Mytilus edulis: one gene and its partners. The protein of the gene in region 4 interacts with the protein of the main gene of each other region in a biochemical or structural test. Links are inferred from orthologs where the notes say so. Each region holds a gene or a part of one and is shown on either strand. Other genes may lie near its edges.

Region 1 (7,753 bases), on a different chromosome or scaffold from region 4:
AAAGTAACAACACTTGGTCAGCACCTCATAAGGAACATTCATGCCATGTTTGGTTTCATTCCATTCAGTGGTTCACTAGAAGAAGTCATTTGTATGCATTTCGAATAGGGTCCTATGTTAAACTAAGTCCCCGCTGGTGGCCATCTTGGATAATGGATCGGCTACAAAGTAACAACACTTGGTCAGCACTCCAAAAGGAACATTCATGCTATGTTTGGTTTCATTCCATTTAGTGGTTCTCTAGAAGAAGTCATTTGTATGCATTTCCCATAGGGTCCTATGTTAAACTAAGTCCCCCGCTGGCGGCCATCTTGGATGATGGATCGGCTACAAAGTAACAACACTTAGTCAGCACCCCATAAGGATAATTCATGCTATGTTTGGTTTTATTCCATTCAGTGGTTCTCTAAAAGAAGTCATTTGTATGCATTTCCCATAGGGTCCTGTGTTAAACTGGGTCCCCGGCTGGTGGCCATCTTGGATGATGGATCGGCAACAAAGTAACAACACTTGGTCAGCACCTCATAAGGAACATTCATGCCATGTTTGGTTTCATTCCATTCAGTGGTTCACTAGAAGAAGTCATTTGTATGCATTTCGAATAGGGTCCTATGTTAAACTAAGTCCCCGCTGGTGGCCATCTTGGATAATGGATCGGCTACAAAGTAACAACACTTGGTCAGCACTCCAAAAGGAACATTCATGTCATGTTTTGTTTTATTCCATTCAGTGGTTCTCTAAAAGAAGTCATTTGTATGCATTTCCAATAGGGTCCTATGTTAAAGTAAGTCCCCGCTGGTGGCCATCTTGGATAATGGATCGGCTACAAAGTAACAACACTTGGTCAGCACTCCAAAAGGAACATTCATGCTATGTTTGGTTTCATTCCATTTAGTGGTTCTCTAGAAGAAGTCATTTGTATGCATTTCCCATAGGGTCCTATTTTAAACTAAGTCCCCCGCTGGCGGCCATCTTGGATGATGGATCTGCTACAAAGTAACAACACTTGGTCAGCATCCCATAAGGAACATTCATGCTATGTTTGGTTTTATTCCATTCAGTGGTTCTCTAAAAGAAGTCATTTGTATGCATTTCCCATAGGGTCCTATGTTAAAATAAGTCCCCGGCTGGCGGCCATCTTGGATGATGGATCAGCAACAAAGTAACAACACTTGGTCAGCACCTCATTTATAAGGAAAGGAACATGTTTAATTTCATTCAAAAGTCCCCCACTGGTGGCAATCTTGGATGACGGATCGGCTACAAAGTAACAACACTTGGTCAGCACCTCATAAGGAACATTCATGCCATGTTTGGTTTCATTCCATTCAGTGGTTCACTAGAAGAAGTCATTTGTATGCATTTCGAATAGGGTCCTATGTTAAAGTAAGTCCCCGCTGGTGGCCATCTTGGATAAGGGATCGGCTACAAAGTAACAACACTTGGTCAGCACTCCAAAAGGAACATTCATGCTATGTTTGGTTTCATTCCATTTAGTGGTTCTCTAGAAGAAGTCATTTGTATGCATTTCCCATAGGGTCCTATGTTAAACTAAGTCCCCCGCTGGCGGCCATCTTGGATGATGGATCGGCTACAAAGTAACAACACTTGGTCAGCACCCCATAAGGATAATTCATGCTATGTTTGGTTTTATTCCATTCAGTGGTTCTCTAAAAGAAGTCATTTGTATGCATTTCCCATAGGGTCCTGTGTTAAACTGGGTCCCCGGCTGGTGGCCATCTTGGATGATGGATCGGCAACAAAGTAACAACACTTGGTCAGCACCTCATAAGGAACATTCATGCCATGTTTGGTTTCATTCCATTCAGTGGTTCACTAGAAGAAGTCATTTGTATGCATTTCGAATAGGGTCCTATGTTAAACTAAGTCCCCGCTGGTGGCCATCTTGGATAATGGATCGGCTACAAAGTAACAACACTTGGTCAGCACTCCAAAAGGAACATTCATGCTATGTTTGGTTTCATTCCATTTAGTGGTTCTCTAGAAGAAGTCATTTGTATGCATTTCCCATAGGGTCCTATGTTAAACTAAGTCCCCCGCTGGCGGCCATCTTGGATGATGGATCGGCTACAAAGTAACAACACTTAGTCAGCACCCCATAAGGATAATTCATGCTATGTTTGGTTTTATTCCATTCAGTGGTTCTCTAAAAGAAGTCATTTGTATGCATTTCCCATAGGGTCCTGTGTTAAACTGGGTCCCCGGCTGGTGGCCATCTTGGATGATGGATCGGCAACAAAGTAACAACACTTGGTCAGCACCTCATAAGGAACATTCATGCCATGTTTGGTTTCATTCCATTCAGTGGTTCACTAGAAGAAGTCATTTGTATGCATTTCGAATAGGGTCCTATGTTAAACTAAGTCCCCGCTGGTGGCCATCTTGGATAATGGATCGGCTACAAAGTAACAACACTTGGTCAGCACTCCAAAAGGAACATTCATGCTATGTTTGGTTTCATTCCATTTAGTGGTTCTCTAGAAGAAGTCATTTGTATGCATTTCCCATAGGGTCCTATGTTAAACTAAGTCCCCCGCTGGCGGCCATCTTGGATGATGGATCGGCTACAAAGTAACAACACTTAGTCAGCACCCCATAAGGATAATTCATGCTATGTTTGGTTTTATTCCATTCAGTGGTTCTCTAAAAGAAGTCATTTGTATGCATTTCCCATAGGGTCCTGTGTTAAACTGGGTCCCCGGCTGGTGGCCATCTTGGATGATGGATCGGCAACAAAGTAACAACACTTGGTCAGCACCTCATAAGGAACATTAATGCCATGTTTGGTTTCATTCCATTCAATGGTTCTCTAAAAGAAGTCATTTGTATGCATTTCCCATAGCGTCCTATGTTAAACTAAGTCCCCCGCTGGCGGCCATCTTGGATGATGGATCGACTACAAAGTAACAACACTTGGTCAGCACCTCATAAGGAACATTCATGCCATGTTTGGTTCCATTCCATTCAGTGGTTCTCTAGAAGAAGTTCAAAATGTAAATTGTTAACGACGACGACGACGGACGACGCCGGACGACGACGACGACGGACGACGGACGCCAAGTGGTGAGAAAAGCAGCTAAAAATGAGAAGATAAAGCAGCTAAAAATGAGAAGATAATCGTAACTGGATAGTGTTTTTTTTATATTGACACTAAAACGTATATCTGATAGTATATGATGAAATTATGGTGATGAATTAATCACGTTTCAACATCTTATGACATTTCTGTTTATATTATTTAAAATAGTTCTAATGAAAACAGCTACATACTATTATATCATAAAATTTGAAAGGTGAACCAGCTTCAAGAAATTTGTAAATGGGAAAACACGAACTATGTTATAATACAAAAAAATCCCAAGAACTATTAGGAATGCCACAAAATATGGGAATGAGCGAAGAGGTAAATTTAAAAGGAAGTTATGATATATGGCAATATGAAGGTACAACTCACGTTACGCAGTGGACATTTTGATGAGTGTCGTAGTGGACAAAACCGTTTCGGTCGTAGTGGACAAAAAGTTTCGTAAAGCTTGTTCTTTGTTTTGCACGAATATAATTGAAAAAAAAGACAAAATCTCCAATACTTGTTTCATAGGCGATTGGTTTGTAGTGGACATATTTACATGTTTTATTTTTTTAGATATGCATTGGACGATCATAGTCATAGCAGTCACCAGGTGCGGATCCAGGATTTAGACGAACTGAGAAAGGGGGTTTCGGGAAAAGAATATACATTTATCATACTAGAACACACCCGTGAAATCGCGGGTCCTTGACTGAATTGAAGTATATAACTATGCGTTAGCCTTATTTTAGTATTAGTATTGTCATATGATATATAAAGTACTGCCGATTATAAGATACACAGTTTCCTCTACTTTCTGTTTGAACCCGTCGACCTGGAACTTATCAATTATTTGTAATATTAATTATTTGGAAAATAAAAGGTCTTGGAATGGAGTATTTTTTAATCAACAGCATTGTCCTACATTAGTTATAAATAAAGTTGAATTCTTTGATTCGCTGTTTTACGTCATGCCCGCTACCAAATTAACCGAAACTGTACATAAACGCCTTATCATTTTAGGTCCATATTTTTAGTATTCGTATTATTATCTTACTAATTAAAATACTACAATAGGGAACAATTTGACAATGATTGAATTTAGTAGTCAGTGTCAACCCTGTGACTATGACCCGTGTATATAGCAAAATCCTAAATACACCGTTTGGTGGTGCGATTTTAGTTGAAATGATAGGACATTTTTTGAGTGGGTACTCACTTTTGTCCAACGACTTACAAATGCATTTAATACATAAATGAAACTAAGTTAAAACATAAGTTAGTTTTGGGTAAAAAATAATACGACCCGAGTTTGAAGTTCCCGCTAAAAAAAACTTACTGATTTAGCAGAGTTATTGTTCTTGCAGGAAGTTGATGAAAATATGGCGACATCATGAAAAGAAAAACAGACACTGATTATCCACTATTACAGAAGTTTGCCTTCATTTGAACTGGTAAAATTGGTTTCAAGCAAAAATAAACACATCACTTATTATTTTAATTATAAATTTCCCAATTATACTGCCTGACTCCTTTGTCGAAGTAGGCCGAACCAGGAGACGGTGGTTTCCCAAACCCTAAATCACAGACACAAAGTCCTCAAAGAATAACTACCTGTATCGGAAAGTGTCTCAATATCGGAACTACAATATCCTAATATTTCCCTCAAAGCATACATGGATTGTTTTGACAGTGAATGACTTTCGAAAAAATCTATGTGCAAGTAATATTCCCAATACAAACAAATGAGGGTACATCTACATTCCAAGTTGATCTGTCAAACTTGACCAATAGTCAACGCTTCTGGTGGGCGCAAGAAAAAGAGTAATTTTGTAAGATAACCAAAGAATATCTTCCGTGGGGGTACCAGGGAAAATAATCCCAGCCGGCACAGCTCCAGTCCATCATTTTGACTTACTTGGCAAATGGGGGAATGCACAGATTAGATAGAAAGTGTTGAAAGCTCCCTCTTGAAAGATACCAAGGAGGGATCCTCAGCTACAGTTGCTGGTAGTGTGTTCCTAACTGTCACTGTTCTTGGGGAAAAAACTGTATTTGTAGCCATTAGTCTTGGTTGAATATTGCCGGAACTTCTTTGTATGTGATGATCTTGTTCTCGATGACATTGGTGTTAAGTACGTGTCGCATGGTATGTCCACAAGATCATTAACAACTTTGTAGAGTAATGTAAGCTGTAATTTGACTCTTCTGTTTTCCAATGAATCCCAGTCTAGTTCTTCTAACATGCTGCCCACACTACTGGTGTTCCTATAGCGGCTGCTTGACCATTTCAACCTTTTTTACTTGCTCTTTTTAATGTGGATTCCATACTGTTGCGCAGTAGTCTAAGTTGGATCTGACCATTGCAACATATGCATTTGTCTTGGTTTCGCTATTGATGTGTTGTTTCCAGGAGAGGTCTGATTCAATGTCGACTCCAAGGTATTTGGTACTTTTTGATCTTTCTAGCACTTGTCCCTTAAGCGTGTATGAGTGTATTATTGGTGAACGTGATCTAGTGGTAGATTGTACACTACATTTCTGTGGGTGAAAGTCCATGCCCCAGGTTTTTTCCCATTCTGCAAGTTTGTTAAGATCTTCTTGTAACTACATTAGTATCAACAGTAGATGTTATCGTTCTGTATACTATACAATCGTCTGCAAATAGTCGTGTGTTGGATGTTATGTTGTCAGTTAAGTCATTAATGAATAGGAGGAATAGTAACGGTCCAAGTACAGTCCATTGGGGGACTCCGCTGACCACAGGAACTTTCTCTGAAGATTCTCCCTCAACCATGACTTGTTGGGTACGTTTGGCTAAGAACGATTAAATCCACTTATGTGTTTGTCCTGTAACTCCATAATGCTGTAGTTTGTTGAGCAGCCGTCTACATGTATGTGAGACACGATCAAAGGCCTTAGCAAATGCTTAGAGAAATCAAGGATAACCATATTAATCTGCTCTCCTCTGTCTAGAGCTGATGCAAGCTCATGCCAAACGTGATGAGTTGAGTTTCACAGCTTCGTCTTGCTCTAAAACCATGTTAACAGTTGGTAAGTATTTTGTGATTGTCTAGATGTTTCAAGGTGTTACTGACAATGATGTGTTCCAGGAATTTACAACATAGACAGGTGAGTGAGACGGGTCTATAGTTACTAGCATCATATCTGCTTCCTTTCTTAAATATTGCTGTTACGTTTGCTTGTTTCCAATCTTCTGGCACTGTACTGGATCGAATACTAGGGGTAGTAATTATATGCCCTTTAATTTACTGTCAGGCGTAAAACGGTCTTTTTCATGTACCGTTACTGTCAAATTGGTAAAATTTTTACTGTGATTTGTCAAAAATTCTGATTGTGATTTGTCAGAGGTCTCACATAACAAATGTATAATTATCGTTAGCGTCAATTGTTGGACAAATTAAACGTGAATCATCAATATCAATTGATAATTTTTATCGTCTGAAGAAAATGTAAATTTAATCGTCATGCACCAAATATTACTGTTTACGTCATTTGCCTAAAAACAATTTCGTCATGAAGGCACCCCCATTAGTGATTACCACCCTCAAACAAATGGGATACTAAAAACAAGCTTAGATTTTTAAAATTTAATTTCATTGACGTTTGATATATATTGAATTGCTTATTAGGAGTCTATGACACTTGACTTGTAGTGATTGACGTTCTAACTATTATATTGTACTTCCAGTCGGGACACTTTCTTTGGTCCCGAGCCCGGTCAGGTGTTTTAGTGGGTAGTGCCTAGTCCCAAGAGAACCCCGATTTAATACTTCATACTGACAGCTGCTAGAAAACCCTTGGGGAAACAATAATATTTATGGTAAGAACGTCAACCACTGAATTGTATCTAAAGTGTATGGCATGTATGGACAATATTGATGTAATCAATAGTTTAATAAACCATCAGAATTTCTAAGGAATTAATTATTATAGGACTAATATCTCAGAACCAGGGAAAATAGGAAACAAGATGGGAAATGCTAGGAATTATATAGTTTTATATACAAACTAAACATCACAACTTTCACTCCTGTTACACACTTACAGCATGTAACTTGAAAAGTTTTGATCCTGATCCTAGGGTCATAATTGACACAACTTGTCTCTTATATATTCTACGCTTTTCCTCTTACAATTGTATGGTACACTGTTGCTCATGGTAATTTATTAAGGTACTTAAATTTATATTTGTTTAAATGCAGGATTCAGGCTAGGGCTCGCCAGTTCTTGAAATCACCTTCCTCTTGCAAGATTTGTTCTAAAAATATTTAGGGTTATTCCCAGACCCTAGGCAATGTCAGGATTTTTTAAATTGCGCTCTCTGCTGTTCAACTTCAGCATGTTCAGAGTAAGCACATATTTTTTGCAGTTATGATGTTGCTGCACCAAGATCCTTTGTAATGGTTCCTATGCAAAATTACTCATTGTTAAGTTTATTTATGTAATTTATGTTATACATGTAGGGTCCAGATCTGGAGCTCCATATCTTTTAAATAAAGTAGTACTTACATTATATTTGACTAGATCATATTTGTCTTGCATCTATTTTATTAATGACAATGCACATGTACTTAAAATCATTTTTTTTAAAAAGATCACTGGTTTTCAAGAATTATCATGATATTAATCTTTATCATGTTT
Region 2 (8,150 bases), on a different chromosome or scaffold from region 4:
GAGTACAGAAATGACAGACATGTATGTACAGTTTCAAGCAGACAAAATGACATGACTGTCTCAAGCCATGGATGTACTTTGCAGAGATCTACAAATATAGATTGCTTATTAAATGTATAATAATGCCAAAACAGTTATCTATCTTAATAATCCTAAATGTATTGAATGTGTGGAATTTCCCTTTTTGTATAACAATATTATACTGAAAACCAGATCAGGAAATATATTATTTTTGTAATATTTTTATCTAAGGATTGACCAAAAGCATTGAGCTGACATATGCTGGTGGATGTATATTAACTCTTATAGAAAACATTAAAAAATATCATAGATTTTACCTTTAATTGTATCACACATAATTTCACAAGCTTGTAAATATTTGATGGTGAGGCACAACTTGAAAAGACTTATTGTCTGTAGTTATACCTTTGTAACTGTCATTCCAAGCAATATTATATTACATGATTTATGTGGACATACCTGTCGATATCTAGATAACTGATGATAGAAAGAAGTTTTCTACAGAAAAGAGAGAAAAACAGTAAACAAAGGAATAGGAAGAGCTGACGAAAGTGTGTCAACTGTATTCAAGATATCTAAGGAAAACTTGAACTCTCAATCCAATTTGACTTGAATTTGTCTTTTGACTCTGTAAAACTGTAGTACAATGTACCATTTATAATATTATTAAATGAAATGATTAACTTGTTGGAATGTACTTGCAGTCCCTTTTTTCATAACAGCAGAAACATAATAAGAAGTTGTATCTTTTTTGACACAGTTTTCATTGATCTAGTACAGCATATTTTCTATTAGCAACCTCCTGCAACAGTAAAATATCAATGCCAATGTATTATGTCATCTATTATGAATGATAGCAATGTCTTCAACACATTCAACATGAAAGACTTGAAAATAAGCTTTCCAGTAAAGATACTTTGGAGTGGAGAATATGGTAGGGTGAAGTAACAATTGTGGTGAATGTTACAATGTTTTTCAAAAATGTTCAACTTGATATTCCAAACTATCACACCTAGCAAGATATGAATTAACATGTAAAGTGTGAAGTGAAAGTGTTAATTGACAAATTGGTTCAATACAAATTACAAACGGAAAAAATATATATTTCATGTATTTTGTAAATTTATTGAACACATAAAAACACCAACACCAAAGTTACAAGGGAATACACAGACTCTTTTTAATGAATCTTTTCATTGTCTGAATAAGAAGGTGGAAACCATCATACAGAAATTTACAATATGTATTCAATCTTTTAACATAGTTAATTATTTCTGATTTTTTACTATCATTTTCCAAAAAAAGGACAATCAAGATATATTTTCTAAAGTTACTAAAACACAGGTTTGTTTATAACTATGTCTGACACTAATGCTGTTGTTTATGAAATTGAAATATATACACAAGCTAATGATAAAAAGTAGGAGAAAGATAGGGTTCTTTTAACTTCTTTAAAGACATTTAAAAGATGTATGCACTATTTGTTTTTGTGACTGCTGTTAGTCTGTATGTAAATTCCATTTCAACATGCAGTAAATTAAATGTTCACTATATAAATTGCAAGATATTTTAATTTTAAGCCTTTTAATATTTCTAGATTCTTATTGTTTGTGTAATTTTGATGCACTAGTGAAAGCAAGCTTTTATCCTCAAACAAATATAAAGGATATTTGTTTTTAAAATATGAACATACATGTAGATATACTATAAATGTTGTGTTCCATGTTTGCCTTAATAAAATAAAGCAAGCAAAAAGAGTGTAGTGAAAATTTTGCATTCTGTCACTGCATGTTTACATGTTTGGTATCAAAATGTTTTAAAGTGCCTGTATGCCAATAAGGCTAAATGTACTATAGACAAGATAGAAAGGAAAAACAACCATCACCAAGAGAAAAAGAACATGCAGGTCTATTGGAAGTGAAATATTAACAATGTTACTCTACCTGAGTGGATGATCTTAATAACTGACTTTGTGAAAACTGTCGCTCCTATTAAAATGAGAATTGTACAAATAAGAAATGAAGTTACATGTTATCATTTAACTATGATAATGAAACTTGAGCCTGTGTATCGTGTAAACATGAATAATAAATAACAGTTTAGGAGGAGATGATAAACTACAAATATACCACTGCGCTTTTTCTTTCTGATTTTGGGCATCTGGTTTTTAAAGGTAACTCCTAATTTTAAATTTTGTTACTTAAAATGTAATGTATGCATACAATTTAATCTGAAATCTTTGTTATTGAACACCTGTTAAAATCTTAGTTCTTACTACAAGGGCATAATGTTGACTACCACAAAACGTAGTTCTAACTGCAAGGGCAAAGTTCTGACATATTTACTTTTGTGGCATTACAATAGATTAATAAATATTCACTTACTGGTGGTGGATTTTCAATTTCTAATGTGAATGGTACACCATTATATCCAAACTTAATTAGGTCTCCAGGCGCCAATCTGACAGTTGCATTCTGAACTCTACATTCGTTTACATATGTTCCTTGGGATGTGTTCAGATCTTGCAGCACATAACCATCTTCTTGTTCACTGTACTCAATAACACTATGTTGAAGGTCAACACCTTGTGTCTGTAATTAGTTTAAATAATCATTCAAAAAGCATGAAAAACAATATTAACTTTACAAAGCTAAATAATCTGTAAAAGGTGTAAAAAGTGAATGATCAAGGAATATAAAACATTACAGGCGGGTCATGGTAGGAGTACCTTCATTAGGAATAATGGTAAAATACCTAGCTAAATGATGCCAATGATAGTTTTTGATGCATGATGATAAATGTACAATTTTAACTGATGATTGAAAAAAAATCATCTGATTTTGACGAAATATGTTTTATTTATTTTGAAACATAGTGGCAAGACATGCAAGAGTAATTTATTTGACACCCCTGACAATTCACACTGTAATTTCAACAAATTTGACATTAAAAGTAGCTGCAAATGACTGTTTGATACTAAACATAAGAGGCATTCCTACCCTCTTACATTCTGAAGGATGAACAACCATGAACCAAAATATAATGAAATTTGATACTCTCAGACTAGTATGAGATTACTCTGACGTCCAACAGCTGTTTGCCAGACAAGCTGGGGCCGTGGGCCTGGCAAAACAGCTGTTGGACGTCAGAGTAATCTCAGACTACTCTCAGAAAAGTGATTTGATCATCTTTTTTAATATAAAGGTACATGAATATAGGTGATTTTTTCAGAGACAAGTGAGTAGTGTCACCTTCATGATGAAGGACCTTGGATGGAAACCTCTTGTGGAAAGAAGACGCTAACAACGACTGGTACTACTATACAAAATAGTGACTGACCTGGTAGCCATCCCCACTGAACATCACGTAGAATTTAATACTAGACCATCCAGAACTTCAAACAAATAAAACTCTTATCAGCAAATATTGACATATATAAACATTCATTTTTTCCACAAATTATCATTGACTGGAACTTACTACCAAATACTACCGTGAACTGTAAAACTGTGGAAAGTTTTAAGGCACTAAAGGCAGTTTATAAATCGTGTGACTAGTTACATCAGTGGCGCACACACACTTCCTGGATAAGTTTTACTCAGTATTTTGAGTTCATTTCCAGTATTATACAGATACTTGAAGTGGGTCTCAAAATTTTATCGCTATTCTCAGCTGACCTGAGAATACACCTTATCGCTATTTGTCCGCCATTACTGGACATCACACAGGTTCCCGTAAAATTTTGACGTCATAATTCAAAATATCTGACGCCACAATGGAAAAGTGATTGTTGTATGACGCCAATAGTTCAAGCGGAACAGATTCTCGGGTCAAGCGGAAATAGCGATAAGGTGTATCGGTCCTGCTTGAACTATTGGCGTCATACAACAATCACTTTTCCATTGTGGCGTCAGATATTTTGTATTATGACGTCGAAATTTTAAGGGAACCTGTGTGATGTTCAGTAATAGCGGACAACTAGCAATAAGGTGTATTGAGGTCTAAGCATGACACAGGATTGGCTTGGCTTCCTTTTTTAGTGGGACACGTAAAAGTTGAATAATTTAAAAGCGTGAAAACAGGATACAAAGTCTGGCGGGAAACGTGAGATAACATGCACTATTGTGGCATGGAGAAGCAGGATATGGAATTCTCAAAAAACAATAAGCCAGATCCAGGATCATACCCCTCTTGAAGTGTGGTTTTTCTGTGTACTACACTTTTTTCAAATATATGAATATTCAATAAATCTATACCTGTAAGTTGATGTCACAACCTTCACGTCCAACTGTTGTCACTTTGGGGGCTAAAGTAAATGCAGACCCATCATTTCCTTTTAAAAATGCTTTCATCTTGACACTCTAGAAAGTTGTTTACATTTGGTTGCTGCTCGGGTTACCAAATACTCATGAACAGGTGCCCGTTTTCCCACGTGTTTCCTGAAAATATTTCTTCAGTTGTCAGTTTTGATGAGATATTTGCAGACTCTATCAATGTAGGATTAAATTCTCCACGTGGGATTAGTAAATTAAGTCAGAATCAATTGTTTTTCTATTTTACATGCAGAATAAACAAGTTTTTTGTCGGCGCGAGTGATGTTGCGCATGCCCAATAGCGCATAACAACCAAACATCCGAAACCTCGAACCTGGATACAAAAATAAGCAGAATTGTTTTTATCTCTGAATAATAGTTTTAATCTTATAAAGGCTATATTTTTAATTGTCTTTTCTAGTGTTATGTAAGATATAAATGTTGAAGGTACACTTTAATAATTTTTACAAAAATTTTCTAGTAGAGATTATTGAATAAAAAATCTGTATCTTTCATACGTTTAAACTAACGAAGTAACTAGGAGGTTAAACAAGTTGCATTGTGCTTCTGAATTTAATGTTTACATATTTTTTAATAAAATTTGGACAACTTTGAAATATTAAATTGCCAAGTGACAGCTTTTAGCAAAAACAAAAATGCCAAGTGCACTTGTTCTACTCGCCGAAGGGGCAGAAGAAATGGAAACCGTCATCACAGTGGATGTTCTAAGACGGGGAGGAGTACGTACCTTATGCTTAGGCTGAGTCCCAAAATTATAATCGGCCCAAAATAATACACCTTATCGCTATTCCCGGCTATCAGACCCGAGAATCTGTCCCGCTTGAATAAACTTATGTATCTTAATGTACATGTTATTGTAACGGATCACATCAAAGACATCAAATAAGGCGATAAGTCGAGTATGCGTTCTATATAAGTATCTTTATTCTTCAAAACTACATATGGCTAAATATACTATATCATAACAACCGATTCTCTTCAATAAAATAAAATACACATAAACATACATCGTAAGTAAAAATATAACTTAAAAAACTAAAGGCATTAAATACTAATCAAACAATATGATTCACTTTCTTTCACGCTTCATAAGTAACTTGTTAAATTAAAAAGTTAATTAGAATAAATATTAATTTATAAATACTTTTACAATTCTTAATATTTCTTCTTAAAATAAATATTGTTCTTAAAACTGTACATAAATTATCTCTTACCGATTATGATCTCTCTATAACAGGTTGGGAACAAACCCCCTGTAGGGTGATTATACCTCTATAGAGGGATAATCCTTCTTTAGAGGGATAAAATTATCCTTCTATAGAGGGTTATTTTTGTTTGCACTGGATTTAAAGCAAATTAGGGCAGAATGGCATTATCTAGTTATATTGGCTATAATCTCTAGCATTATATGCATCAACATATGCACTTTACTAAAAATTAGGATAACCAGTTTTCTGCTAAAGTGACAAAACTTGCAATCTATTGTAAACCTATCTGAACACCTGATCAACAGCAAAAGGAATAGGTCTCGGTTATTGTATAGAAAGGTATATACTATGAAAATTAGAGCGAGGGGCTTTGCCCCAAAGCTCTTATTTTCATAGTATATACCTTTCTATACAATATCCAATTTAGCACATATTTACAACTTGAGTAATCCTGTAATTAGTCTATTGATATGTTTTGGCTGACTGGATGTAGCTCATTTACGTAGTTTTGTAAATCTACTCACTATAATATCATTGTAAAAATTGGATTTCAAAAGGCCCTTGACTTTAGAATGTAAAGAAGGTAGCTGCTGGTGTACGTATGTTTATTGATATGAACGAAAACGTTGTTTTACTATACATGTACTTATTTACATGGTAAGATGACAAAATGAATTGACCAAGAGCAGACAATTCTTAAATTGCAGTGAAAGCTTTACATTCTTGAAAACATTTTTTTAATTTCACATAAAACCTAAAACTATCACAAACAGTTGGATCCCCGTCCCACATCTTTGGTTGAAACACCTTTAAAAAATGGCTGGATCTGCCCATGGTATGTACCCATAGGTAGTCTAGTAGGTAGTTTATATGCATGAAATATTTGTCACTGGACATTAGGCAACCAATTATCGACCAATTTATGACTAAATATATCAAATTTCTTTATTAATAATTTCCCTTTAAAAGATTCATGGTTGACTCTTTTTGTGTACAAAGTAATTGCATGGAAGATAAAGGATTACAAATTTTAGATTGAGTTGTACTTTAATCAAGGTATAAAGCACCATTATTATTACTCTTTATTTAAATGAAAGAAACTTTTTTAATTGTCAAAACAAAATTTAGATCAAAAGATTGATTAGTAGGATGTTAAAAATCTGTTTGAAAACTAATTACAAACTATTTAGTTAAATTTGGAACACATAATTTATTTCAAAATAGCCAGTAGCAATTTTTGTTCTAATATCTTGATTACAATACAATGAAATCTTACCCTTGTGGTCATTCATGCGTAGTTACTTAGTACACGGAAAAAGTATGTACTATGAAAATTAGAAGGCAAATTCAAGCAATTTGATTGGACGAGAACTTGTAAGTATGTGCTAATGGGCGTATGACATTTGCGCCAATTTGAAAATTTTCATTCTTTCATTTGCGCCAATTTCATTTTTTCATTTGCGCCGATTTTATATTTGTTCCTAATTAGATTTACAGGTAATTTAATACTTGTACATGTACTGTACTATACCATTGATAAAATCTGGTTATAAATGTTGTTTATTTATGTTTAATAGATATAGGAAGATGTGGTGTGAGTGCCAATGAGACAATTCTCCATACAAATAACAATTTAAAAAGTAAACCATTATAGGTTAAAGTACGGCCTTCAACACGGAGCCTTGGCTCACAACGAACAACAAGCTATAAAGGGCCCCAAAATTACTAGTGTAAAACCATTCAAACGGGAAAACCAACGGTCTAATCTATATAAACAAAACGAGAAACGAGAAACACGTATATATTACATAAACCAACGACAACTACTGTACATCAGATTCCTGACTTAGGACAGGTGCAAACATTTGCAGCGGGATTAAACGTTTTAATGGATTCAAACCTTCTCCCTTTTTCTGAAACAATAGCATAACATCACAACAAAGAAAAACATACGATAAAATATCAATTGGCAGACTTAACTCAATCAAAAAACGTATGATTAAATAAGTTTATTTTGATTCATATTGTTCTGGAACTTCGTTGTAACATGATGGACATATTACACACTGAAACCGAGGAGTAAATTTTTTAATCATCGAGGGCCATACATATCGGAACTTTAGTGTCCTGAAACATAAGAACATATCTTACGAATGTACCACAAATCGTGTAAACCCAGAGTCACCACGGATTCTATTGTCAAAACACTGATCGAGCATAAACATGTGGCAGATATCCGAAAGACAGAGGTTAAAGAACTACGGGTACTGTCAAGAAAAAGTCTGGAGGTGTATCTTGTAGGTCTTCTTCCATCTCTCAGTAGTGAGCAGGAGACAACAGTTATATACATGTTATGATTGACAATTCATTACATTTGTACAAATGGCTAATGGAAGAGGTCTTAAATGATAAATGAAAAATGACATGACTTGGATGGAGAGTTCTCTCATTTGCACTCATACCACATCTTCTTATATCTATTCACCTGTAATTTACCTGTAAAAAAAATCGGCGCAAATGAAAAAAAAAATCGGCGCAAATGAAAGATAAATCGGCGCAAATGAAATGCAGATCGGCGCAAATGCAA
Region 3 (8,289 bases), on a different chromosome or scaffold from region 4:
ATGTACAACTTGTAGAACTTTGTACAAGTATTAATATATCTATTAAACAAGAGGCAGTCAGAGAGACAGCAAACTTGATTTTCCTGCAGAGGTCAAACCCTGAACAGTTGAGCCACAAAAGTATAGACACAAAATTTAAGCTTAAACAAATCTGAATACACCTTATCGCTATTTGTCCTCAATTACTGGATATCACACAGGTTCCCGTAAAATTTTGATGTGATGAAATAAAATACCTGACGGAAAAGTGATTGTTGAATGCGTCAACCGGGATTAGCTATAAAGTGTATTTGAAATGTGATTGAATATTTGATACAGCATGGTTTGTGACACAATCCCTTTCTTCCTCACAAATTTTTACTTTCTTCATCTATCAATATTGTAACCGGAGAGCACAAATTTCATTACAAAATTGCTTGTCTCCACTGGGACTCAAACCTGGGACCTCTGTGTAACAGGGCAGTGCGCTAACCGACTGAGCTAAAGAAGTACTTCCTTAGCTCAACCGCTTACGGCTGACTAAGTATCTTCTAAGTTTTTCTAAGGGAAGCAATCCTGTCACACTTCCCCCACCTCAAGAGTCATTATACTCTATAATGATGATATTTTCATCTTTTTTATATTTATATTTTAACCTGGCTAGGTAATTCTTCTAACCGTGGGTTATTATTGTTGGGCGCCAATGTAACCGGAGAGCACGAATTTCATTACAATTTTGCTTGTCTCCACTAGCTCAGTCGGTATACACGCTGCCTTGTAACACAGAAGTCCCGGGGAACGAGTCCCGGTGGAGACAAGCAATTTTATAATGAAATTCGTGCTCTCCGGTTAAAATATGATAAAAAAAATATATCAATTTATTAAAAAAATAATATGAGGCAGGCATAACCTGTGAATGGGGACGAAGTCTGTATGATTTTTTTATAAATCAAACATGTTAAAAAGAGAAACAGAATTACCGTAACATTTCCGATTTTGGTTCTGTTGTAAGGGATTTAGTTGTGACGTTATAACGTCATATTCAATGTAAACAAAGAATGTAACGTTTCCGATTTTGGTTCTGTTGTTAGGGATTTTAGTTGTGACGTTATTTAAGTTATGACGTCGTATTCAATGTAAACAAAGAAACGCTGTCATCAGGTAACGTTTTTTTTTATAACAAACAATTTTTTTAAAATAAATTAGTATTGAGTTCCTTTCTTATACTGATAAATATACATTTTATTCAAAGTCTCATGCAAACAAGACCGGAAACGGAAGTAGATTTCTGCACAGATCCGGAAATTCAAAAACGCAACAAAAAAAAATTGAATGATTTTGAGTTCATTAGTACAATGAAAATATCGGGAAAATTTTCCCGATTTTTTTTTTTATTGAATTTTCTACTGTTTTGGGGACTTTGTCCCCATATTAAATGCATATTTTTTATTCGTTTGATTTTTAAAAAAAATTCATACAGACTTCGTCCCCATTCACAGTTAATGCCTGCCTCATATTAAAGTATAAAGGTGGGGTTTTTTTTTTATGAAGAGACAAGTGTCTGAGCATAGGATACAGAATCACAAAATTCAAAGCCAAAGGGATGAGATTGAAAAATCAAAGTGCTGGATAGCACCTCTGGAAAGTTTGCAACTGTAGCTGTGTATTATTCCAAAAAGGTTATAGACGTGTATAATTTCAAAAATGTATTTCATCACAGCTTGGATGTTTTAAACTTAACCATTGTCTTGTCAGTAATTATCAAAAATCACTTTTTTCATGTTTGTCATAAAAAGTTTTGATATTTTCTATTGCAACCTAAAACTTTAGATCTAAAATATTGAAATATACAGAAAGCTCAGCCTCTGATAATTTCTTTTTATGTACCCATGCCATGTCAACATCAAGGGCCTGTGAATTAGTATTTTTCTATTGGTTTAGATCCTTCATATTTGTTTTTAGTAAATTAATACGTATAATTTTTGTTGTTTAAATTGTTCCACATGTTTCATATCGGGGCCTTTTATAGCTAATTTCTACATGTATATGGTACTAATATTTCTCATTATTGACAACCATATGGTGGCCTATAGTTATTAATACATTTTCCTCCTTTGAACTCTTTTGGATAGCATTGGTTCGTTGCAAAAAAATACCGCATCTTTTTTTTTTATAAATAAGACAGTTACAGTAACTTAAATCAATACAACTGTAATGAAAGTGAATTTATATTAAAGGCTTTTATCAAAAATAGGGAACGTGTCCATGGGACACAAATGATGCCCCCGCTAGCATTAACGTTATAAAGTATCACAACTCAAGAACTGTAAATGTGACGCTACCAAAATTTGTACTTGATCTGATGGGGTAATAAGCATTGTGTATACATTCTAATCACACAGTATTGCGCAATAGATTTGTAAGATCTTGACATTTGTTTTATGTCAGAAACCTATATATTATGTCAAAAATTTGATCAAAATCCAAATTCAGAGCTGTATCAAGCTTGAATGTTGTGTCCATACTTGCCCTAACTGTTCAGGGTTTCGACCTCTGCGGTCGTATAAAGCTGTGCCCTGCGGAGCATCTGGTTCCATTTCTAACGAGGCACAACCCTAAAGAGCAGTAAAAAGGACTCCACCAAAATTCAAACTTGATCTTTGTTTTATTGTTTAAAGTATTGTGTATAAGTTCCATAACATTTGGTTGAGCGAACTAAAGTTAGATAACTGAAACGAAAATATTCAGCAATTTTTTACATATGTAAAGGGGCATATAACTCTAAAATGGTAGAACTATCGCCACCAAAATTCAGACTTGATCAGTGTTTGTGGTAATGAGCATTGTGTATAAGATTCATAGCATTTGGTTCAGGGGCGGATCCAGCCATTTTAAAAAGGGGGGGGGGGGGGGGTCCCAACCCAGGATAAATGGGGGGTTCCAACTATATGTCCCTATTCAAATGCATTGATCGGCCAAAAAAAAAAGGGGGGGGGGGGGTTCCAACCCCCGGAACCCCCCCCCCCTGGATCCGCCACTGTGGTTAAGACAAACTAAAGTTAGAGAACAGAAACAAAAATTTCCACCAACTTTCCTATTTGTAAAGTAGCATAAAAACGCTAGAATGGTAAAAGTGACGCAACTAAAATTCAAACTTGACTTGTGAATTGTGGTTATAAGCATTCGTATTAGTTTCATACAATTTGGTTCAGGCAAACTAAAGCAAGAGAACAGAGACGAATTTTGGGATGTACGGAGGTACATGTACGTACAAGTAAGGGAAGGACGTACATACATACAGCAGAACAAGGATTAAACTCAATACGGCGGGAGCAAAACAACAGCAGTATGACCACAGGAATAAAAAGTTTATATACACTAGATTCATAGAGGTGCTTATAACCTGTAAAACATTTAGTTGCTGTTTTGAAATTAAGCATTGTCTTATGAGTTAAGAACATTTGAGAATTTTTGTTTTAAGCCATTCATTTGATATATTACGGTAATCACTGCCTCTGAGTTTGGGTGACTAAGCAATTGAAATCTATTTATATAGGGCATGGTATGCCTTAAAACTTTTCCAGATGCACAGGCCGCGATTTGTCTGTAATCTATCTAAATTTTGAGGTGAAAATGCAGCCATTTTAGCCAAAGGGTACACAGCATGAACCTTAATAATTTCTATAGAACTTGTCTTGATACCCTGAGCTATAATATTCGAAGAAGTAGATGCTGACTCGGTTGCTTTTAATATGGATGCTATATGATATGAATTTACAATAACACACCAGAAGTGGTATGATGTAAATTATTGGAAGAAGACTGAAGAAGAACTGACGTTGGGTCAATGTTTTTCTGCTGTCAGTTTGATCCACTTGAGCATGCTGAACGAGTAAAGTTCCTTACATCCACATTGGAATGTGAAACAATTAGTATTTAAATAACGGAATGAAGTTTTCAAATGATTTTTAGCATCAAAATCTTCCAATCGATGTTTAGACAAAAACAATCACGGCATTTTTAAATTTTTATTTTTTATCAAAGCCGGTATTTACCTTTACTCGTGTATTTTATATTCTTTCAACTGTGTTTTGTTTAAACAAACCATTATCACTTTTCAATTATCCGACGGCTTGGTCAAAATGTCAACTTGTTCTCGCATTTTAATCAGTCATTCTCGATTCTTTCGATACACTCGGGATTTTACCACGTTTACGTACGTACATATAGTAAACAGGTAAAAGTAGAGCGGGGAAATGTTCATTCATGAAATATTCATGAATGAATGAAAACGTAATCTCGCGTAGATTTCTTGTGATTTTCTCTATAGCGCATGGCAGATCCGCGAAGTAGTGTTTGTAATACTCATTTTTAAAATGAAGTTAAATTCATCTGAATCGTCGGTGAATATTCATTTCTTTTTATTCAAGCTGTTATCTTTTCAGTCAATACAGTAGTTACTCAAAATTTTAAAAGAATCTTCCAAGAATCATAACTCAAACACTAGTACTACACTATCTCGGAGCAGAATATATTGCGATAATCTGTCAACCGGAAGTTTGAGGCCGACGGCTAAGGAAAGTAGCAATAGCAAGCTATAGCAAACTTTCCAAAAATTGACTGTATGACATGACCGTGACAAGACAAATTGAGCATTTAAAATGCACAGGCCTACGTCACTGTAACTTAAAGTTTATTTTTCCTCGAGTGCTAGTTTTAACTCAATATACACCGTCTTGTAATTACCATGTTTTCTGCAAAAAAAGATCGGACAGCAAGTTGTGGATTGTGGACGGATGCGACGAATGTGAAACTCCGCATCAAACGGAAGTTCGTATTAATAAAGAAAAAAGTCAATGTTATTCATCTTTTATGCATAAAACTATCAATAAATATTTTATCACAAAATTATTAAGATAAACTATCTGTCATTATAATTTATAACAAGTTTTAATTTGATCGAAATGAAAAATAAGGTTTTATTTATTCACTGCAAAATGGCGGCACAGGGTAAAGAAACATGTGCCGAGAAAAGAAAAACATTCAGACCCCTTTTTAAAGCCATAATGTCACAAACATTTCACAAATCATCCTTAAATTATCCCGTTATGCGGTGTATTTCATTAAATTTCACCGATCTTGCTCTGAAACACTGTCTGACAGTACCATGTGGTTATGAACGTTGGACGTGTCCTTTCGTTTTTTGTTGACATGTCAAACAAGATCTGCAGTCACTATAAGACTAGCATGGTTGTTTTATTGATTAATAGCCAGAAACACATTTATTTAATCTCCACTTAGACAATATGATCCAAGCACAGGGGTTTGTTACAATTGTCGGGTTTACTACCCATACGAACCCCTAAAAATGGGGTTCATACGAACCCCTAAAAATGGGGTTCGTATGGATAATTTGTAAACATTGTAATTGTAACAAACCCCTGTGATCCAAGTGTACATGGACAGTTTTGGGAAATCCCTTTAAGGGGACGATCACAGGAGATTGAAAGACTTGGCGATAAAGGTGTATAATTCTGCCAAACTCGAAAGAAGCTCTACTGTGATAGTCAAGTTAGGCACAATTATACACCTTCATTGCTAAGAATTCAATTCATGTGGTACGATCCCCATGCATTATTTGGTAGGTCTGGGTTCTATAGTTCTGCATTCCTTCCCAGAACACATTAACACCCTGTATGTTTGCTCCTTGGGTCTGTTCGCACTGTTTTTTTTTTATTAATATACCAGTTGATTTATTTTACGTCTTAATTTAACTTTACATCATTAAAATGTTATTTCGTATTGGCTCCTTAGATATAGATTTTGAGCATAAAAGTAATATATTTATATTTTCATAAATAAAATTAGATATTCATCTTCGCTAACCAAGGGTTACGATCCACTCCCGTTCTCTTCACCCTTGGCAGATTGAGCCAACATTTGTTGAATCCATGTTGCGCCATCTATCGGAAGATTAAAGTCACGCCCATTCCGAATACATTATTCTTGACCAATGGTAGCACTTGAACTCTTCATTTAGGAGGTAAAAACACGGTAGCGTCTAGATTCTACCCACTTGGTACAGCCGTAAAATATACGTCAACATTCATGCATTTGTGCATGAAACATACACAGGAACTTCTATTAGTTGATTAAAAACATTCAAGTTGTCACTAAATATAGTCGTATGCTTAGTGATGTAAAGGCTTGTTGCACAATAAACACGTGGCAATTGTTTACGATCACTTTCTACATTTACACGTGATCATGTTACAGGCGCTTATGATTGGATGCAGCGAGTTTCTACTGCAACCAATAAAAATCCTTACCTTGTGTCTCCGAAATATTATCTCAATCCGCCAAGGGTGAAGAGAACGGGAGTGGATCGTAACCCTTGGCTAGCGAAGATGTAGATATTAGGCAGCAACCATTTGATTTTCTGGAGGGGGGGGGGGGGCAGTGATCTGGAAGGATTTTTTCTCTATGGGCCCAGGGCCCCTCAAAATTAAATTCAAGGGGCCATTTTAAAAAATAATGGGCCATGTTGTCAAATGAATGGGCCATTTGAATTGACTACAGTGAAAAAAAATTAAAAAGTGTATATCTCGGCAAAGAGATGGTGGTACTTACCTTTATGATTCTAAATAATATCATGGATATTGTGCCTGTGATTTTGTTATTTCAATTTCAAAGAATGTAAAATAACTTCTTCCAAACCAGACAATATTTAAGATAACCTTTATTTACAATGTTCCTACTGGTACTGTTGTCTTGTTCATGTTCATGGTTTTATTTACATTAAATTTGGGTCTTCGTCGATACCATCCTTATTCCCGACGTTCCGTATTAAAGGACGTTTCTGGCATTTCCTCTGCACTTCTTGTATTATTATAACTTCATCACGATGACAACAATAACAGTAGAGAGTATCATAAATTGATAAAACAAAACAACAATTCGCTGAAGGCATGTTTACAAAATGTCAAGACAAGCCAAAGACCAAAAAGTGACAAGGACAGTTAGTCGCCTTTTATGGAGACAAAAACTATATTCATATAAAGGCTTTGGGGTTTTTTAGAAAAAAAAATTGTTTGTTTCCCCCTCAGATGCCACTATATGTAATGCTAAAATTAGAATAAAAAAATTGTTTTCGACTTGTCGTGAAAAAAATAGATTAGGCGGAGAAAAAAAAGTTTGTCCAGAAAAAAAATCCATAGCTCCCCCTGAAAATCTAATGGTTGCTGCCTTAGAAAAATCTCTCTTCAGATGTACAACATGTACAATGTATTTCTAAAAATGTTTAAATGAATGTCACTCAATTATTAGCTCACCTTGCCCAAAGGGCCAAGTGAGCTTTTCCCATCACTTGGCGTCCAACGTCGTGATCCGTGGTCGTCGTCCGTCGTCGTTAACTTTTACAAAAATCTTCTCCTCTGAAACTACTGGGCCAAATTTAACCAAACTTGGCCACAATCATCATTGGGGTATCTAGTTTGAAAAATGTGTGGCGTGACCCTGCCAACCAACCAAGATGGCTGCCATGGCTAAAAATAGAACATAGGGGTAAAATGCAGTTTTTGGCTTATAACTCAAAAACCAAGGCCACCCTTAAAAAATTGTTTGTTTGGCATTGCCGACCCACACTATCAGCAGGTGGGTAGGTAGGTAGGGATTTTTTTTTTTTTTTACATTTAAAAGCTTTATACATGTAAATCATGAAGTCTCTAGACCAATGTTGTCTAAAGCATTGCAGCATTGTTGTGTGTACATGCTGGTGTATTCTTTGAAAGGGGTCAACCGTCAATGTCACATTCTATATCATATGGATAATTTCATGCAAGAAAGTCAGTTTTATTGGCAGAGTAAATCAAAGTACCCAGAAAAAACACAGACCTGAGGCAGGAAACTGACAAATTAACCATATAAGATGTATGACATGAAAATTGAACGTTTATTGTGGGACTGCACATTGAACAGAGGCCTGATGTCACATCTTGAAGTTGTGGTCACAGTTTGGTAAAATTACCATAAGTTTAATGGCTCAACCACTACGGCTCCTTGTACAAATGGACAAAGATTTAAAACTTTGATTGTTTGCCTTGGGTTTATAAACATCCCATCTACACCATATGGGTAATTTCATGGCAGTCAGTTTTAGTGGCGTACTAAACCGTAGTACTTGAAGGAAAACGCCAACCTGCGGTAGGAAACGGACTAACCTTACCACATATGACATGAAAATCAAACCTTAATTTTGCAACTGCCCAACTAGGGCTCAAACCAATACCTAGAGGCTAGAAATCATACATG
Region 4 (7,457 bases):
AACCATGAAAATGAGGTCAAGGTCAGATGACACCTGCCAGTTGGACATGTACACCTTACAGTCCTTCCATAGACTGAATATGCTAGCCCTATTGCTTATAGTATCTGAGATATGAACTTGACCACCAAAACTTAACCTTGTTCACTGATCCATGAAATGAGGTCGAGGTCAAGTGAAAACTGTCTGACAGACATGAGGACCTTGCAAGGTACGCACATATCAAATATAGTTATCCTATTACTTATAATAAGAGAGAATTCAACATTACAAAAAATTTGAACTTTTTTTTCAAGTAGTCACTGAACTATGAAAATGAGGTCAAGGTTATTGGACATGTGACTGACAGAAACTTCGTAACATGAAGCATCTATATACAAAGTATGAAGCATCCAGGTCTTCCACCTTCTAAAATATAAAGCTTTTAAGAAGTGAGCTAACACCGCCGCCGCCGTAGCCGCCGCCGCCGTAGCCGCCGCCGGATCACTATCCCTATGTCGAGCTTTCTGCAACAAAAGTTGCAGGATCGACAAAAAGTGCTTGTTATCACTGAATGGTAAAGATTGTTTTAATTTATCAGTTGGTAGTAAAAGTGAATATATACATTGTATATTGTATAAAACAATGATTTAAGTTGATTCAACTACTATTCTGGACAAAGAAAGATAACTCCAATTGAAAATTTTGGACCCTTTGACCTTAATGTAGACCAATTTGAAAACGGGACCAAAAATTAAGAATCTACATACACAGTTACATTTGGCATATATCAAAGAACCCCAATTATTCATTTTTTGATGAAATCAAACAAAATTTAATTTTGGACCCCGATTTGGACCAACTTGAAAACTGGGTCAATAATCAAAAATCTAAGTACATTTTATAGATTCAGCATATCAAAGAACCCCAATTATTCAATTTTTGTTAAAATCAAACTTAGTTTAATTTTGGACCCTTTGGGCCCCTTATTCCTAAACTGTTTGGACCAAAACTTCCAAAATCAATCCCAACCTTCCTTTTGTGGTCATAAACCTTGTGTTTAAATTTCATTGATTTCTATTCACTTATACTAAAGTTAGTGTGCGAAAACCAAGAAAAATTCTTATTTGGCCCCTAATTCCTAAACTGTTAGAACCAAAACTCCCAAAATCAATCCCAACCTTTCTTTTGTGGTCATAAACCTTGTGTCAAAATTTCATAGATTTCGATTAACTTAAACTTAAGTTATAGTGCGAAAACCAAGAAAATGCTTATTTGGGCCCTTTTTGGCTCCTAATTTCTTAAATGTTGGGACCAAAACTTCCAAAATCAATCCCAACCTTTCTTTTGTGGTCATAAACCTTGTGTTAAAATTTCATAGATTTCTATTCACTTTTACTAAAGTTAGAGTGCGAAAACTAAAAGTATTCGGACGACGACGACGCCAACGTGATACCAATATACATGTACGACCAAAAAATTTTCAACTTTTGCGGTCGTATAAAAACTAGATGTTTCAAGATCAGCTGATATAACCAAAAGCATTTCAAATGGTAATTAAGGGTACCCTCCCAACCCCATCCCACACCAAAAAATAAATAAAGGGGGAATGTGACCATGGGACACAAATGGAAGATGATCCCCACTTGCATATTATGTTATATAGGGACATAACTCAAGAACAGTAAAAATGAAGCTACCCAAGTACAACTTGAGTTATGAGGTAGTAAGCAATCTGTACATAATAAGTTTCATAACACTTGCTTGAGTCAAACTAAAGTTAGGAATAAATATAAAATCCTTTTCGAAAGAAAAACTATATAAAAGCTTAGTTTGGACATTTTTATAGTAATTCAAAATAAAACATTTTACCTTTAGTATGGTAATGGCTATAATATAACTATACAGCTTGATAGACAAATTTAGTAATAACATCATTAAAGTGGAGTTAAAGTCTTATAGGATTGTAAGTATATTTTATTTTATCACCTTGTACTTTCACATTTTGACTGAACAATTTGTTCAATATTCTGACCAGTTGAACAATTTGATTTTATAAAACAAATTGCGATTTGGTCAAAATTTTGAATGAGTTGCAATTGGTGGATAGCAACACTAACAGTCAAGTCACTGTAGTATGATTGTTTTTAGTTAAGATTTTTAATAGAGTAGAAATCGTTTTTTATTAATTGCACTTATATTTTTGGAAGTTTTATTTTTATCGTTAACTTTCAATAGAATTATGTTGAAATAAAACTACATTGTCCTCTGCTAAGATTAGTTAAAGATAACAGTATTTTCCAAAGAATTTATTACAGTGTAGAAAGTTAATTGTTAATCTTAACAGGATTCCTAAATTTTATGACACCTTCAGTGGGTCAGTCTTAGTCATTTAGAGCTCAAATAATAGTCGTCTGCAAATGCAGCTGTGGCGATTTAATTACTTTGTTTTGATCATCTCTGGGAATCAGGTTTAAGTAGTGTAAAATTGTATGTCAAATGGTCAGACTTAAACAGATCATGTCTTTATCATGTGATAAGTTAACACGAAACAATGTTGTGAAATTGTAATATGAAATGATTTTAAATATTGGATTAAAAAGCAGTTATTAACAAACATTCGAGTTAGTTATATGTAATGGATATAATAATTCTATTTGTTTGACCCTTTCACCGATGAGTCCTGGTTTACCGAGATTCACGCTTCAGACAGCTGACGATGAGTCCTGTTTTACCGGGATCGGAATACCTCTTTTATTTATATTTCCCGCTCAAAACAGTGCAAACACGAGTTATCTTTCTTTGTTGAATACCCTGATGAAAGTGTAAACATGGCGCTTCCGTTTGTTGAAAACCGTGTCAAAATCAATGGAAATTTACAAGAATTAAAAATTTAGGAACATTTTTGTAAAAAGAATATGGAAGAATTGAAGCCAAACTAGTAAACTGAAAATGTCGTTTTATGTACACAACACTTGGAATGGACATCGTTGAGTGTAAGGAATTTGTACAGCCTCATTTCATTTTTCAAAATTTTGCCGTTTTGGGTTAAAAATAATGATTTTGGGTCAAAGAATAGATCTTTCAGAATTTCAACTAGATCATGCCGAAAATTTGAAAATTTTATGAAGAAAAAAATATCAAACATGAACAAAACTGTGAACATGGTGTTAGTGAATGAAATAAAGACACAAATAACTACAGACTAGTTTTTATTGACATTTATTATGAAGATCTCCCTCTTGAGTAATAGTAGCCAGGGAAGCCATCGTCTCAGACAGAGTAGCTTCTGTCTGGGCAGCTATCGGTGAAAGGGTTAACATTATTGTCGAACTCCCAAATCGTCAAACTTTATATGAACAATTTATTCCACTTTCAAATCGTCTCCCCAACAATTGATGATGATGGTGGTTACCATTACAGTCTGGAAACTGTATATATATAATGTATAATGTTATCATACCTGTAATTTCATGACGTCACCACAAGCAGGAGCACCAACCAATCCCGTTCCCACATCTTTGTCGTTTTTATTCATAGATCCAACATTTCTGGGATTCTCATAATGATCAATTACCTGTTATTCAAATAAAAATAATAAAAGTTGAATAATTTTTTGTTTGAGTATTTGAATAGAATATGCGATTCATTCTATTTGTCATGTTTTACTACAATAATTTAATTTGAATAGAATATGTGATTCATTCTATCTGTCATGTTTTACTACAATAATTTAATTTGACTGAAAATCATCAAGGGAGACAACTTTTTAACTCTTTGGCAACAACTCAAATTTCTGTCTGCAAAATCATGAAAATGTCATGTCAGAAATAAAGGCAGAATTTATTTGTAACTGTTTATATGGTTCACAAAAAAATGCCTATTCCAAAACAACTAATCTGATATCATAATCGAATAAATGAGTGTATAATAATGTAAACTTTCGATGAAGGACTTGGCATTGCATAACTTTTATGTAAAACTAAGACAACATCTACAATTTGTACAAGCAATCTTTATTGACAAATAAACGTGTTCAGATACATTTAAATATATATTCTTACATTTTTGTGATAAAGTGCAACTAACGACGTAGTTCGACTTTCTGTTACTGATCGAAGAAGTTGTCCTCCAACTCGAAATAAAGCCATGATGTTGTTTTGCATGTGGTCTGATCACTACTTCCACGTGACATCATCCGCCAATATAGTTTTTATATTTTAACATCTATAGATAAAATTTGATTGTCCATTAACATTCATTAATAACCGTATAACTTTCAAACACTATTTAAATTGTTTGATGTCCGCTTATAATTACATTTGTAGCTGTTTAATCAGGTATAATTATGCGTAGTAATATAGATATCTACTTTCACTTCTGAATTCTGACCTGAAATTGAAAGTAGGTGACATTGCTTTCAGATGACAAACATTGTAATAAATGTAAAATACAATGTTTCTTCGTCTTTTACAATCGAAGTAGATACTGACTGGAATGTATGGAAAGTGAAAAGAGAAATTTCCAAAAGAATTAAACTACCACCTGAAGAAATACAGTTGATATTTACAGGCTGTGTATTGAAAAATGATGCTATTTTAAAGGTGATAAAGGTTTATGATCACTACAAACTTTTTTTGGTATCAAGTACCCCACCCTTTTCATATATTTTGTTTATCAAAAATATGTACCTTGTCATATATGAGGGGGGATAGGAGAGGTCTTGATCCCGAAATCCCGGACTTGAAAAAACGAAATCCCGAGGTCCTTTCGGGATCTGGGAATTTAAATAAAGCAAATCCCGACATCACGAAATCCGAAAAAAAGATTCACGGATCCCAAAAGGGTCAATCCCGAAATCCCGAGCTTAAAAACACCCGATCCCGGAGTCCCGATAAAGGTCCTATCCCCCCTCATATATATCAATTAACAAAAAACAGACCTATAGATATATTTGAATATTTTTCATTTTCTGGTACATTAGTATATAGATTCTTATTTTACTTTCACTTTCTCTTTCTATTTATATCTATAACGTCGTCATAACAACCTCTATTGTTCAGCGAACCACACAACCGCCAAATTTGTACTTCACTGTTTGATTTCATGTATAATATTGTCCTGAAGACACCACCCTTGTTGGCGAAACATGTCGACCATAATAAACTCTTACCATGCCGTAATTGATCGGTGTTGTTGTCTTTGTTATTGTTTTATGTTTAATATTAATTAAAAACTGATAAAAGTTACAATGCCGTTCCCTCTTACAATGGAATTTCTGTAAATAATTGTTTAATGTTTTATGTATACAAACCCTTGAATGTTAATTACAGAGGCGGATTTAGGGGGGGGGGGGGCCCTTTTTGGGAAAAAATTTGGTTGCTTATATAGGGAATCACTGAAGAGTGACTGGAGCGGGCCCCCTCTTAGGTCAGTCAGTGGGCCCCCACATATGAAAATTTCTGGATCCGCCACTGAATTAGGTGCAAATGTCAAAATGGTCGGATTTATTGCATCTATCACTGGCATCAGTGGAAAAACCACATCAGAATAAGTAGAGTTTAATTGGTTTGACAAATAAGTGATGCATTTACAACTGTGGTTTAACGCATCAAAAATAAATACGAACATCTGATTAGTTTTAGATACTTATGATATAATCAAGCAAGTGATAATATCAACCTATTGATATATTTAATTCTGAATTTCTTACCCTTTTCATATATCATAGAGCATGAAAAAGTGACCTATTGCAGCGGCTCATCCCTACCACTAATTATATAGTAAGTGACACCCCCCGAGCTTTTTTTTTAAAAGGAATTTGATGAAAATAAAACCAAGTTTTTTGTAGAAAATCCACAGAATTTTTTGTTATAAGATTTTTAAAACACATTACTCTCTGGTTTTTCTATGATGTGCTAGTATTTATTATTTACAAAAAGTCCTGAACAACAAGGCCGTAACTAGGCATTTTATTTTAGTGAGGCAAAATAATTGAGCGGAGCGAAGCGAGGCGAAAATTTTTTTTTGAGGGTATGAAATGAATGGTGTAAAATCCTGCATTCTAGGCATTTTTAGAGAGTTTGATAATGTTTTGAATTTGAACACTTTATATAAATTTTTCATATTTTAAGACTTTTACTAACACCAACAACTTTATTTAAATTTATATGTAAGATAATCATCCAAATATCACTGATTTGAGTCTGCTGCCAGAACATAGAACAAACATCGATTCAGTAGAGTTTGCCAAATTTTTCTATTGCCGGTTCAGTCAAATCGTTTCAGAATCATAATTTGGTCTACTGGTATCCTTATCGCGATGAACATGGAGCATGGCAAGACCGCACAATCTCTCGCCACTCATGCATGCTCTTTTCCAAGTTTTCAGTCGTTTCAGGGCAGTCTGTGTTTCTAAAGGTAGCACATTGTCATCAACACAATGATCAATGTCTTCTTCCAATTCCTTCTCCATCAGCAATTCGGTAGCAGCATCGGTAGTAACAGTTTTGTTTGCAAAAGGGAATTAAGCTTTCCTGTAAGAACCATCATACAGTCGCAGTTTCAAAATATTCAACTCGCTTTTATGCTGACAAAGAGTAGACAAACTAGGGATAGAATGAGATAAGATACAGGTATATGATTCTATCTATAGAGTAAGTATATCTGGTATGGGTACAGGGGAAATTGGACTGGAGTTTTTGACGTTTACATGTAGGTCTGTAATTTCCAATTATTTCTGGAAATAGTTGGTGGTATTTTAGTTCCAGAATCTATAAATTTAGGGGTTAGGGTCTGGGGTGTCCGATTCCGAAACCCAGAATATAAAGAAACGAAATACCGTAGTCCCGAATAAGTAAAGACAAAATCCTGTGTTAAAGGTTCTACCATTCGATCCTCAATAATATCAAATTGGAATATGGGATATTCTTTCAATTTTTAAGGTTAAAGAAACATGGATAACAAGAATGTGTCCAAAGTACACGGATGCCCCACTCGCACTATCATTTTCCATGTTTTATGGACTTTGAAATTGGGTAAATATCTAATTTGGCATTAAAATTAGAAAGATTAAATTATAGGGAACATGTGTACTAAGTTTCAAGTTGATTGGACTTCAATTTCATCAAAAACTACCTTGACCAAAAACTTTAACCTGAAGCGGGACGAACGAACGAACGGACGGACGGACGGACGAACGAACGAACGGAGCCACAGACCAGAAAACATAATGCCCCTCTACTATCGTAGGTGGGGCATAAAAACTAATCCATGGATGTTTCATATTATTTATATTTTATTTATTTGTAAAGAGAAAGATTAAAGTTCGTGAAATGAATACACAGACAGGACTGCTCCCTTGCGATGCCCAGTACTTGATTTGTCAAAGTTGGTGAAACGGAGAAATGAATACGCAGACAGGACTGCCCCTTTCCGAAGACCAGTACTTCATTTGTTAGTCTAGTTATCGTTTTTGGATT

The links. The genes of interacting proteins can lie anywhere in the genome.
Region 1: the proteins of E3 ubiquitin-protein ligase parkin-like (region 4) and E3 ubiquitin-protein ligase NRDP1-like form a complex in vitro, tested with the Homo sapiens proteins (2 studies listed by BioGRID, with this or other methods). The link is inferred for Mytilus edulis from reciprocal best matches to the Homo sapiens genes PRKN and RNF41.
Region 2: the proteins of E3 ubiquitin-protein ligase parkin-like (region 4) and Parkinson disease protein 7 homolog form a complex in vitro, tested with the Homo sapiens proteins (2 studies listed by BioGRID, with this or other methods). The link is inferred for Mytilus edulis from reciprocal best matches to the Homo sapiens genes PRKN and PARK7.
Region 3: of the proteins of E3 ubiquitin-protein ligase parkin-like (region 4) and eukaryotic translation initiation factor 4B-like, one has a biochemical effect on the other in vitro, tested with the Homo sapiens proteins (2 studies listed by BioGRID). The link is inferred for Mytilus edulis from reciprocal best matches to the Homo sapiens genes PRKN and EIF4B.

What each region holds. Positions count from the first base shown.
Region 1 is NC_092357.1:19,895,087-19,902,839, forward strand, and holds the start of E3 ubiquitin-protein ligase NRDP1-like, read left to right. Parts: upstream 1-4,426; 5' UTR 4,427-4,542; intron 4,543-7,753. UniProt on the Homo sapiens protein: Acts as E3 ubiquitin-protein ligase and regulates the degradation of target proteins. Polyubiquitinates MYD88. Negatively regulates MYD88-dependent production of pro-inflammatory cytokines.
Region 2 is NC_092356.1:41,317,241-41,325,390, forward strand, and holds the start of Parkinson disease protein 7 homolog, read left to right. Parts: upstream 1-4,823; 5' UTR 4,824-4,990; coding exon 4,991-5,074; intron 5,075-8,150. Other genes in the region: forkhead-associated domain-containing protein 1-like, read right to left, coding at 1,965-2,009, 2,406-2,612, 4,278-4,373. UniProt on the Homo sapiens protein: Multifunctional protein with controversial molecular function which plays an important role in cell protection against oxidative stress and cell death acting as oxidative stress sensor and redox-sensitive chaperone and protease.
Region 3 is NC_092345.1:41,811,203-41,819,491, forward strand, and holds the start of eukaryotic translation initiation factor 4B-like, read left to right. Parts: upstream 1-4,962; 5' UTR 4,963-4,976; coding exon 4,977-4,989; intron 4,990-8,289. Other genes in the region: leucine zipper transcription factor-like protein 1, read right to left, coding at 4,726-4,728. UniProt on the Homo sapiens protein: Required for the binding of mRNA to ribosomes. Functions in close association with EIF4-F and EIF4-A. Binds near the 5'-terminal cap of mRNA in presence of EIF-4F and ATP.
Region 4 is NC_092353.1:63,686,979-63,694,435, reverse strand, and holds the start of E3 ubiquitin-protein ligase parkin-like, read left to right. Parts: upstream 1-4,342; 5' UTR 4,343-4,400; coding exon 4,401-4,580; intron 4,581-7,457. UniProt on the Homo sapiens protein: Functions within a multiprotein E3 ubiquitin ligase complex, catalyzing the covalent attachment of ubiquitin moieties onto substrate proteins. Substrates include SYT11 and VDAC1.